Bombyx mori: one gene and its partner. The protein of the gene in region 1 interacts with the protein of each later gene in a biochemical or structural test. Links are inferred from orthologs where the notes say so. Each region holds a gene or a part of one and is shown in the gene's direction. Other genes may lie near its edges.

Region 1 (6,261 bases):
GTCACCTTCTGACTCTTTCTCTTTAAACTTTACCCCTCTTTGTTGAGGCCGTGCTCAGCCACCTATTCTGATGAGGTTGAAAGGCCTTTGGGCCAATAGCAATACTCAACCCCTTAAAAAAATTTACTCACTATTTAAGAAAATTGTTAAGACGAAATCGCCACAACAGTAACGCTACACCACCAGGCAATCGATGGCAGTAGAAATTATCAAAATGTATTTCACGACATCCCGTCGATGGCGAAGATAAACTGCTTTTTTTCCTACCTAGCTGAGAGCCTTGAGAGGCTATTTCAGCGTAACCTTAACTAGTAGGTGAGCTCACGGGGCTCAAACCAGACGACGTTGCTAACAAGAACCCTAGCAAGAGCCGTGCTTCGCAGAATCTGCCACCGGATCGGAAACGCGACCCATTGAAAAGATCTGGTAAGAAACTCAGTGGGCTATGTCTGAGGGTTCATTTACTCGTTGAGCCCTTCGTCGCAAGCGAAGGGTGCGACAATTACCGATGCTTGAGGTACCTAAAAGCACCGTTAGTGGATCGGTAGGCAGCGGCTTGGCTCTGCCTCTGGCATTGCTGAAGTCCATGGGCGACGGTAACCACTCACCATCAGGTGGGCCGTATGCTCGTCTGCCTACAAGGGCAATAAAAAAAAAAAAAAAAAAAATCCGAAATGACGTGTTTGGGGCGACGTCGACTGCTTTCCATTCTTTCCGCAGGATCGGGAATGTAGTTACCGGCGGCCACGATGAGAGGGTTCTCATGTCCTGCCGCTTTATCGAAGTGGATTAGACTGCGATTTCTAGGCAACCAATGAGTTTCAAAGTTCTTTGCAAAGAATTTGTTGACTAGTTGAGTAATTACCCTAATTACGGTAACATGCTGTTCTAGTTAAACTCGCGGTCTTCCCGATCTTCGTAAGAAGTCTTTAAAGTCTCATGCAATTATTATATTTTAGCCTGCAATGAAGACGAGCGTAACAGCAAGGTGGTGACAGTCGCCAGTGTCTACTACACGATCAGATTCGCAAACCCCTGAGAATATTATGCTTGAAACTCGGCACAGCCGCGGCCTGAAGTTATAGGCCACCTAAATCTCATGCCGAACTCTTCGACGAGCTCAACGAGCATCTACAGTTAATTGCCATTATTTATATTAAGACAATGTGTTAATTTTTAAACATAGAAAGCGAAAGATATAGAGATTTGTATAATAATATAGTTAATAAATACTAATCTAATTATAAGTTTACATTTATTCGTTGGTTAGTCGTCGCTCAAGCTAACCATTAACTGAAGTTAGTATAATTTAAGTCTAGCTGTAGCCATGGGCTTTGAGTAGCTCCTTCACTTTGAAGTAGAAACTCACTTTCCCACCAAAATATGAATAAACAAAAACGCGCCATGTTGTTCGGATTACCGCCTCCACTACAGATATTTTTGTACTTTATAGTTGGAGGAATTCACAGCTCACTCAAAACCCATAAGCACCCGACGTGAATGCCACTCTACCCAGCTTGGAATACTTACAATTGTGTTGTAGAGTTGCTATCCCATTTCAAACCAAGACACATCATGACTTAAATAGCTAGGGATTATCATGACTCAAATAGCAGGTAGCTATCCGTGCAGGCTCACTCTCTACGTACCAGTAATTACGAAGACTAGGTAATGATAAAATGAAATGAGATATGTAATTAATAAGATGAAATAATAAAATGTTTCAAAATGAAATTGTCTAGTAAACTAATCGAATATTACTCTGGCTAATCTTAATTTTTCATTTGGACATATTTATCTAAACTTAAACAGAACAAACAAACAGAACTAAAAAAATCAATACCTACCTAATCGCCTCTTTTATTCTAGTAATCCTATTTAAAATAGCATACAGGTACTATTACATTTAAAATGCGCAAACAATTTTTTAACTTTATCGGGCACATTGTATTAGGCAAAAATTAATACGTTTAAAATTTCATCGTCACATAAAAAGTACTAGGCCAAATTTAAAAAAGCGGGTAAATGAAATCTAAATTTTGAAAGCGATTATCATTTTGAAATTATTTGTGACATGAAATTATTTTATCCACATGTTATAGTATATTCGGATAATCTTATGTTTAAAACTATAATGTTCAGTTATTTATCTTGATTTGACCTATTTAACATATTTATTATGGTTTATTTCAGACCACCTTCTAACATATTCGAGATTAGTGTAAATCAGCATTAAATTATTTTTTCAATTGACCGTGTAGATGGCGCTTTTTAATACGTCAATCAAACAAAGGCCGCCATTACATTGCACTGTCAAATAACGAGATTACCAATAAAATCGTAGCTATTTCAAATTCAACAGGAAGTTGACGACGATTAACTGAAAAATTGGTGTCCCTTGCTATTTTAAGAAAGTGTTCATTTGATTTCCTTAAAATATTATGGCTCAAAACATCAATCCACATTACGCGTCGTCTTCGAACCCAGCTAAGCAGAGTGAAGACACGATTAAACTAAAAGACAATCATGCTGTGAGCAAACGGTGAGTTTTATTATTTTTACCACAACTTTTTCGTAATACCACGGCAAACACCCACGTAGACAACATACAATACAATTAGACTTGCGCAAAACATCACTTCCCAATGTAATGTGATATGACATCACTTTTACAGATAGGTGATATTACTCGAAAACATTACACATCACTCTTAACATTACTCGGTGCGTTCAAAGTGATGTGTATAAACACATCACTTAGGTAATGATTCGGGTGTATAGATACAATGTATTCGTCGTCACAGTATCTATTGAACGCACCGAGTAATGTTAAGAGTGATGTGTAATGTTTTCATCAATCATTACCTAAGTGATGTGTATAAACACATCACTTAGGTAATGATTCGGGTGTGTCATTACAATAGTGTATTACAATACAAAGTATGAACTTTGTATTGTAATACACTGTTATATTACTTGACAGATTGACTTACTTAATAATATAATAATTTTATTTTTTACTTAATATAATTTATTGTGGGATGAACGGATTTCATATGGCGACTTAGACTGCAAATTGAGCTCGACAATAATGTTAATATACGAGAGCAGTAGATGCATTGTTTCGGTGCGATATCCTCAAAAATATCCTCAAAAATCCAAGGAGGACTGTACTTTCATCTAAATGAACGTACGTCTAAACGCCGTTATTTCTTTCACTTATTAAACACGCATTAAAACAAATAATAAAACTATCTTCAAACAAGTGCTTAAGTAATTCAAATCAAACACAAAAATTAATATGAAATATTACTAAACAATTACGAGCGACTAGCGATTTTACAAAAGTTGCGAATAAAAAATTAAGTAAGTACTTGCGGGGAGCTACCGGCTGGCCGCATGAAAAATATAAACACAAATACCTATATTAAAATTCAGACGTACCATAGGTATAAAAATGTACCTAGCGGCCAGGACATATGGTTCAAAATCACTAGGAATAATTCCGTGTCGCTTGCTCATTTATTTTGCGTCGATCGGTCTGTCTCGCTCGCTCGGTTCCGTTCGTGTATTACACGACAAAGAAAGAAACATGTTGGGTGATAGTGTGATGTTTGTTTCCTTCGCGTAATGTGTGATGTTGCATTACATCGTAGAGTAATATTACCCGAGTAATATCACTCGCATTACTTACACATGTCTAAATACAATATATTTTGGTCCTTAGTATCGAAGTAGCGATTTGTGTCTAACGGTTTTTTTCCCACGAAAAAGTCTCGATTATTCTGTTCACTTGCATTATTGTTGGTTTGGGCTGTTTTAAGCACATTATGTAAATGATCATTTAGTGCATGTAATACAAAAGCGCCGAAAAAGTAAAAACCAAATAAAACTATTACACTTTACATAATGTGGTAAATTTAAAAGCACAGTTTTTAGCAGGTATAGGCATTCTCATTGGTTAAAGCGATAATTTTACAATAATTAATGTTCAGTAGGTAGGAATAAGTAAACTTTTTAAAAAGGTTTGTTAATTAGTCACCTTTTCTACATTAAATAGCATCAAGAGCCTTAGACCTTTAGACGCTTTCTAATTTGTGAGATTCTTAAATGTAAATTGTTTATATAGAATTACTTCTCTAGAACAATTACTACCATGTGAATGAATATACCTCCACCCAGAAAATATTGCAAGTGATATAAAATTTACACTCACACTACAACATCAGTCATTCCACATATGGCAGCATCCTATTTACCAAACAATAATTCTGCAAAAACAGAAATTTTATGTCATTACTGGTCAACTAACATTTCATTAGAAATGTTTCAAAGACTCACTACTTAATTAATAAACCTGCTATTAGATTAATGCACTTAAAAAAAACACTATATGCCATTACTTTTGTGTTATAATTTGCATAATTCAACTCATTTTATATTTCTTTTTAATAGACTCCAGAAAGAGCTAATGGAGCTAATGCGGTGCAGTGATAAAGGAATATCAGCATTCCCTGAAAGTGAAAACCTCTTCAAATGGATCGGGACCATCAATGGACCTTTAGAAACTGTATACGCAGGCCACAAATACAAATTATCACTTGAATTTCCAAATTCATACCCGTACGCACCACCTGTTGTCAAATTTATGACTCCGTGTTTTCATCCAAATGTTGACACGTGTGGTTTAATATGTTTAGATATTTTAAAAGATAAGTGGACGGCTTTATATGATGTACGTACAGTATTGTTGTCAATCCAAAGTCTTTTAGCAGAACCAAATACACAAAGCCCTTTAAACCAGCAAGCATCATATCTATGGCCGAACCAAGCTGCCTATAAAAAATATTTAGATGAATTTTACAATAAACATAAAGACTCATAGTCTGTTTTAGAGATTATAAGTGTGTTTTATTTTTCGTTGTAATATTTTTGTGTCGTGGATATTTCAGATTGTGACTGTTGAGGGTTGGTTGGGCTCAGGTTTTGTCTGCTTAGACACTGCAGTCTTGCAAAAAAACTTAATTTTAGACCATACTTTGTAATTTATATTAAAATTTGTAAAATACACTACGGTTGAAATAAATTAATATCACAACTAGACTTGCATGTAACATTCAATTTTTCAATTATTTTTTTTGTGACAAATAATCAGCCCCAGCTGTCGTTCATCTGAAACTTGATGTACATTGTGATCACAGACAATTATAATTATTTAGTGCAATTGAGACATGCTTTCATTTCTCCTTCCATCCTATCACATGTTTTATGCTTTATTTGTTGAAGGGTCGGGAAATTTAAAATAACAACTTGATGTCTTGGTGGGTGGCGGCATAAACGTAACGATATCTATGAGCTCTGATAATCAGTTAGCATCACTCAGTGACCATGTTCACCCACCTAAACATTAACAAGGTTAAATAATAAAAAGGAAAAAAATCGTACGCCTCTGCTAACATAATATATTTCATCAGTTCTGCTACAACTAACGGGCTTCTATCGTTTTCATTTTTACGCCTCCGGTAATCTGTCCCCACGACCAGAAGAACCCCACTTTGGTCGCCGCGTGCGTAGTCTGCATTTGAGAAAACGTTCACACCACTGGCTATCGAGTCTTTTTTTTATTGCTTAGATAGGTGGACTTAAATGCCTTAGTGCTATTATGAAAATCAGGTGATCGTCTTGCGACGTGCCAATGTTGATGGCATTGAGGCATATTTAATGCGTCGACAGCTTCGGTGGTGCGGTCATGTATCACGCATGGCGGAGGAAAGAGTGGCGAAGCGCATCTTTGAACTACAGGACAGCAAGGGAAAGCATGGCGGACAGCTCCTCCGGTACAAGGATGTCGTGAAACGACACATGAAGAGATGTAAAATAGAGCCCTCTCAATGGGAGTGCTTGGCCAGAATGGCGCAGGATGGTGAACAGCCAAGTAAGTACGCGAGTTCGAGGATCAGCGCAAAGCTGACCTTGATTACAAACGCGACCAATTGAAGGCCCGCCCTCCTGCTGCCATAATCTATATAATTATAAGAACGGCGTGCTTACGTGCCCTCAATGCGCAAGGAGTTTTGCCACCTTCGAGCGCATGAGCGCCAAATCGCCGGATAGGATTCGAAGTGGTCGCCATGACCGAAATCGGTCGGAATGATCATCATTAGGTGGACGAGCTCACAGCCCACCTAGTGTTAAGTGGTTACTATAGGCCATAGACATCCACAACGTAAATGCGCCACCCACCTTGAGCTATAAGTTTTA
Region 2 (6,522 bases), on another chromosome or scaffold:
TCTTTTGCTTTCGGACAGGGTTTCTTCGAATTCTTTCCCTTACTGCTTTAACCACCTTTTTTGAACGAACACTACGTGGAGGGCCAGATCTTTTTCTGTCACAAACAGAGGAGATCTCATTGCACCTATTAATAGCCCGGTACACAAACATTTTACTAATACCAAGCGTATGGAGAGTTTTAAAAATTGCATTTGGCTCCATACCTACTTTGTGTAATGTGTAATGCAATCACAGCGATTCGGTTCTCTTTATCACCCCACTCCATTTTAATATCGCAAAATATTGTACAATGTATTGCATTGCAATCATATAAAAACGACAGATTCCAAATTCAAATGTAATATTTTTTTATTTTTAATTGTAACAGTATTTATGGCCAGACTAAGTACATATAATTTAGAACTCATATAAACATACGTATCTATGTATATTTTAATTCAGTTATTCCGTGAACGTAGTTAAGTATTCCTTAGATTTTTATAATTTTTTCTTAATTGCAAAACATGGACAAACAAGTTCATGCTCCACCCGGTTTTAAGAGCTTATGAGAGACCATCGTAATACCCTTAAACTTCACAGTTAAGTAGAAATTTCAAAGGAGCGGCCGACAATATTATGACGCTCCTGGACACTCTTCTGGGGTAAATGCAGGAATCCGGGCAAAAAAATAATAATGGTCTTGGTATTTAGAGTTTACAGATCACGATACACAACGCAGTTCACAGGTTAATTACGATAAACTCAGCATTAAAAAAACAACGGACAGTGCTTGCCAATTCCTTCCATTCTACCCTATCTAGACTCTGCTTACGTTTACAAAGTTTTGTGACGTAAAGAAAAGTAAATATTAAACTTGTAAATGTAATTGTGGTACCAAATCGTGCGGGCTCACAAATTCGTTCTTGCACCAGTAAATGCCAGTAGACGATCGCTTTAGAAATAGTCTAAAAACGCTGTTGCCACGGGAAAAGGATGGTATTATTCGAGATGCCTTTAAAAATTCTTTGACTTCCAGACGCAACACAACAATAGTAGGACTTGATCCAAGCGCAATAACTTGTGAGAATTTGGCTTCCACCGGAAATATTGAAATAAGGCTGCAGAATGCTTGCGACAGTTTTTGGACCATAGGATCATGTCCACCACTACACATTTCCGTACAATCAGAAACTGGTGGTGTTGATGCCACAAGCGCGATTTGCACAGGTATGATTTACATCCAAAATTATATGGGTATTTTACTAATATTAATAATAGTTATGTCACTTTTTAATTGAGTACCTAGTAAGTATTGACTAATAAGAGATTCATTCAAATTATATGTTTTTTCCTCTTACACCTTTTTTAACAAATTTCACATAAAGAAATGGTCATTCCTAATGGACTGTTTTTTAATTCTAGATGCTTCGGTATGCAGATTCCCATACAACATTAGATATCAAGTCCAAATTGAAGACCTGGGGTGTTTTAGTGGAGCATCAAGTCTAGGAGCCAGCCTCGCAATTATTCTGACTTCTTTGTATCTCGCAATATTCTAACTGCGGGTATTAAATTTGGAGAAGCGTTATTTTTTCCTACCGATAGTAATAGTACCAACCTACTTTTAACACAAAACAAATCTATAAGTTATCGTTCATTTTGAATATCGTATTTTGTTTCATACACGTGTAGTTTAAGATTTCCAATTTACAATAAGATTGTACAAAAAGCGTGGCGGAGCCTATTGAGTATAAAACATTAAATATTATAATATATACATATTATAAAAACCAGATATAACAGGGTTTATTGTACTTATTTTATACAAAATATAGTTTCCATATATAATACATTAAGTATAAACGTAGACTTTAAGCAATTTTCGTGTTTTTTTATAAATAAAATCTACTGTAACAAATAGCCTTTGTATTATTTTTTATTCTATATATGTTATTAGTTCTGAGTTATTTGGTAGGTGAGCTCGCGGGGCTCAACTTGAGTGTGCTAACACTGACCGTAGCAAGAACTATGCTTCGCAGAATCTACCACCGGAACCGAAGTACAAACACATCACTAAATCAATGGCCCCATTCATGAAACCGGAAGGCATTACCTACTACTTCGTCATAGATAATGCACTTATTATGTTTATTACTTCGTTAGAGAAATAGGCAGGGTGAAATTCCACAAGACGATCTGGGTCGTTTTCAAATTTGAGGCCAAACTATCGTAAAGCTATCGTATCGTAAACCAAGTATTGTATTAATGTTATCTTATAACATTGTGTCGTAATATGAAAAATTATATGAAGCGAAATGAGACATTAATCGATTGGAATTAATTTCCATCTTCTTTTTCATCGTTCTCTCACCGCTGAGGATCGCGACCACATGTGATTTTCATCCACAGTGTTTGATCATGGGTGGCATGGACCGCATGATATAGACTACCACCAACCAGATCTGACCATCTGGCTGGCGTTCTGCCTACGACGCGCAAAAAAAAGAAGGTATTGCGATTTAGACTATTTATTTATCAAATTTGATCTAACGCTTTTTAAACCTTTTTATTTTTAATTAAGCACGGTCATCCGGCCCCAATTTAGGATTCCCTGTGTTACGGGTACCAGAGACTACTAACATACTTATATACGTTCAAATATATACATATGTATATAGATAATAAACACCCAAACAAAGAGCAAACAAACTGTTCATCACGCAATGTTTGCTCGATGTGGGAATCTAACACATAACCCTCGGCGCAACAATCAAGGCCGCTAGGTACTGTACCTCCGAGTCAGTCCTAAACAGTCCAATATGTCATGCAGTTCAACTGACGCACAGGGTACATCTGTAAAATACGTTTACGGTTGCTGTTACACTAATGTTATGAATTAACCCACCAACGCCATCTAGTTTCTTTTTGTTAACTTTAAGCCAATATTCCCCGGATTAAAAAACTCATGGGATGATTATTCATTCATTAATTGCGTGGATGTAATTCAGAGTTTATACGAACATTACGTCGAAGATTACTCTTTAAATTAAATCTTTATCAGTATAGGCTATTTCCTTTTACCGCAACAATTAGAAAAGTCAGTCTGTCAAAGCTGTCACTGCCACTTCAAAATCTCACCTGATTATGTTTTTAAAAATAGTAAACAAGTCGAGCATTGTAAATGTACGCATTTAATTTTCAATAGTTACCTTAAATATTTACCATAAACATTAAAACGCATACATTATGTCCGGTGAAGACTGTGATGGTATGGACCGTGGGGATAACGATGGTCCAAAATCCGATAAAATGTTCACATTGAAAAAATGGAATGCTGTTGCAATGTGGAGTTGGGATGTTGAATGTGATACTTGCGCTATTTGCCGCGTGCAAGTAATGGGTAAGTTTTTAATTATTTATGTTGTTTATGAATCAATTCATAGATATTCATCAAAGTGATAGTGAGTCAAATTTATTTAACAAATTAATTGCTTGGACAAGATGACAGTTATTTTCCAGATTAGAATATATAGAACTATTAAAGAAAATATTACTACCCTACTATAATCATATTACAAGTAATATTTAGTGTGCTGTGCCGATCATAATTAGAACTAGATTTTGAGCACTAAGTATGTTTTCTTAAAAGTATTTTATTTTTATTTTAAGTTAAGATGAATGTTGCCAATTAGCATTGAGAGTCATTACTTTTTTTAAAATGATTACATTATTTAGGGATAGAATATAATTACTAATATATTAAACAAAACAGTAGTAATATTGTTCTATCAATGTTATATATTTGGATTTTCAAAATTAAAAATGTTGTGTGCGTGTGAATTATTCTCAAACTATTTAATTACGCTTTAAATTTAAGGCCATAATTAAGGCATTTTAGTTTAAATTTCATTATATTACATTGAAATAATCCTGTTTATTAATCCATCAATCTGTTAAAGAATTGTAAAGAATACTGACTTAAACATAAATATTATTTTGCCGTAGTAAAAGCAGAATCGATTGATCATACTTTCTTTAATTCTAATAATTCTCTCTTAATACAACATAATATAACATAATAACACCTAGGTCCTGGGTCATGTCCTGGTTCTGGGTGGGCTATATACTTTTGAACATTACCAATATGTCTCCTCTTAACTTGAACTGTTTACTAACTTTCATGAATGGAAACATAGTTACACTTACAATTCATATCAATATGTGTGCTTGTCAAATTAAACAAATAAATAATAATAGTCATTGGACCGACAAATCAATATGTTTGAAAGCTGTACAATATAGATTCCATGTGGTCTGGCCCCCCTTGTTTCGTAAAAATAATAGTTAACTATTGTTTTCTTAGTTAGTTCTAAAATTTGAAATTGCAGGTACATATAACTCTATTCATAGGCACAATTCGATTAAAAGAGATTAGTACAGTGCCTTCAATGTAATGATTCTGTGAATTGTAATGGTTCGAATTATAATTTAAGGATGTGACTCTCTTTCCATTAAGTGAAATTTATTCTTTAGATCTTACCATTTATTTTCATATTAAAGTTTAAAAAAAACATTTTTTATTACAACTAATATAAGTAACTATTTTTTTTTTTTTTTATTGCTTAGATGTGTGGACGAGCTCACAGCCCACCTGATGTTAAGTGGTTACTGGAGCCCATAGACATCTACAACGTAGATGCGCCACACACCTTGAGATATAGTTCTAAGGTCTCAGTATAGTCACAACGGCTGCCCCACCCTTCAAACCGAAACGCATTACTGCTTCACGGCAGAAATAGGCGGGGCGGTGGTACCTACCCGTGCGGACTCACAAGAGGTCCTACCACCAAACTAAATAAGTAACTTATGATTTTAACTTTACGGCATAGATTAAACTCTGTTATAAGATTGCCAAAAAGCTTAGTATTTTACATGAAGTAGTGTATGATACAAACTACAAAATAAAATCATTATAAATAGTTACTAAATGTAATAATTTCCCAATAAAAACTACTAAAATACTTTGGCATTCATGTCATAAATTATAATCCTCGTAAAGTCTACCTACCAATAGAACCAGTTACAACAACTAAGTATGATACCATTGTACTATTAGATATAAGATTTTTTTATAGAAATCTTTTTCTACACAACGTTTTTACTGCCTAAAAATTGTGAAAAGAATATAGTAAAAGTTATTAATTGCTACTTTAAAGCTAATTTTATTCAATTAATAAATGCTTAAAACATCTTCTTAGCATCCGTTTGGCAAAGGCTTAATGTTTGCTATCGAGCTTAGTCGACGAGTTCTGGGTTTCTCTTCTCTACCGGTTATTTTATTTTCAATTTGATCAAGGCTTTTGCCTCTCGTTTCTGGTACGCAAACAATAACAAAGAATAAGCCTACAAAACAAATACTCCCGAAGAGCCAAAACGTGCCCGCCGCGCTGATCGCATCAACAATGTTCTGAAATGTTTTTGTTACAATAAATGTACATAGCCAGTTAAATGCCGTGCAGATTGAAGCAGCGCTACCTCGAATCTTTGCTGGCAAAATTTCACCCATCATTAACCATGGTATTGGCCCGAAAGCCAGTGAGAATCCTAACAAGTATATCATAACGGTAGTCAGTGGTAACCAACCCAAATCAGATACATCTAATTTTGCTTGGTATTTAACATAGAAGAATGTACCCAAAATAATTAAAGTAATAGTCATGGTCACTGAAGAGATATATAATAACAATTTTCGTCCAGCTCTATCTATTAGCGCCGTAGCGACAAAAGTGGAAGCGAAATTAACGATTCCTACAATAATTGCTGAAAGGTTTTCGTCCACAGAACTTCCTGACATTTGAAATATTGTCACAGTATAGAATATGACGGCATTTATACCAGAAAGCTGTTGGAAAGCCATCAAACCGAGAGAAATAAGTATCGCCTTCGTATATTTGATGCTAAAAAGATCTCGTATGCTTGCATCATCGGCTTGAGCCTCTGCGTCTGAAACTGCAATCTCTCGAATTTCACTCTCGATATCACAATTTTTCCCTCTAAGCCATTGTAGTGCTTTTCGAGCTTCTTCCATGCGACCATGCGAAATATACCATCGGGGTGTCTCCGGGATAATGAACATCAAAATAAAGAATGGAATGTTCATAGCAGCACCCAGAAATGCAAGCGCGGACCAGTCTAAATATGTGCCAGCTAGGTAACAAATTAAGATACCTATGTTACCAATTGCTGTAGGGAATAGTCCTAAAGTTCCTCGGACTTCTGGTTGGATTGTTTCCCCTAAATAAACCGGAAAGGCTAAAGATCCCACACCAACACATAATCCACAAATAGCACGCCCGACAAAAACCAATTCGACAACGTGTGCTATGGCTATAACTATCCATCCCACGCAGAATGGCGGAGCTATAAGTAGTATAGTTCTACGCCTTCCTAAATAATCCACCAAGGGTCCACCGATCACTCCACCTGCGAGTGCCGCCAAAGGCATCAAGCTTCCAATCCAACTAGCCTGCAAAAAAAAAGTT

What was found.
Region 2: the proteins of ubiquitin-conjugating enzyme E2 C (region 1) and RING-box protein 2 form a complex in vitro, tested with the Homo sapiens proteins (4 studies listed by BioGRID). The link is inferred for Bombyx mori from reciprocal best matches to the Homo sapiens genes UBE2C and RNF7.

Annotation. Positions count from the first base shown.
Region 1 is NC_085126.1:12,141,434-12,147,694, reverse strand, and holds ubiquitin-conjugating enzyme E2 C, read left to right. Parts: upstream 1-2,196; 5' UTR 2,197-2,441; coding exon 2,442-2,542; intron 2,543-4,455; coding exon 4,456-4,885; 3' UTR 4,886-5,226; downstream 5,227-6,261. UniProt on the Homo sapiens protein: Accepts ubiquitin from the E1 complex and catalyzes its covalent attachment to other proteins. In vitro catalyzes 'Lys-11'- and 'Lys-48'-linked polyubiquitination.
Region 2 is NC_085111.1:9,082,817-9,089,338, forward strand, and holds the start of RING-box protein 2, read left to right. Parts: upstream 1-2,497; 5' UTR 2,498-3,226; coding exon 3,227-3,380; intron 3,381-3,998; exon of another isoform or gene 3,999-5,234; coding exon of another isoform or gene 5,235-6,506; intron 6,507-6,522. Other genes in the region: uncharacterized protein LOC101738136, read left to right, coding at 1,017-1,207, 1,403-1,539; facilitated trehalose transporter Tret1, read right to left, coding at 5,235-6,506. UniProt on the Homo sapiens protein: Catalytic component of multiple cullin-5-RING E3 ubiquitin-protein ligase complexes (ECS complexes), which mediate the ubiquitination and subsequent proteasomal degradation of target proteins.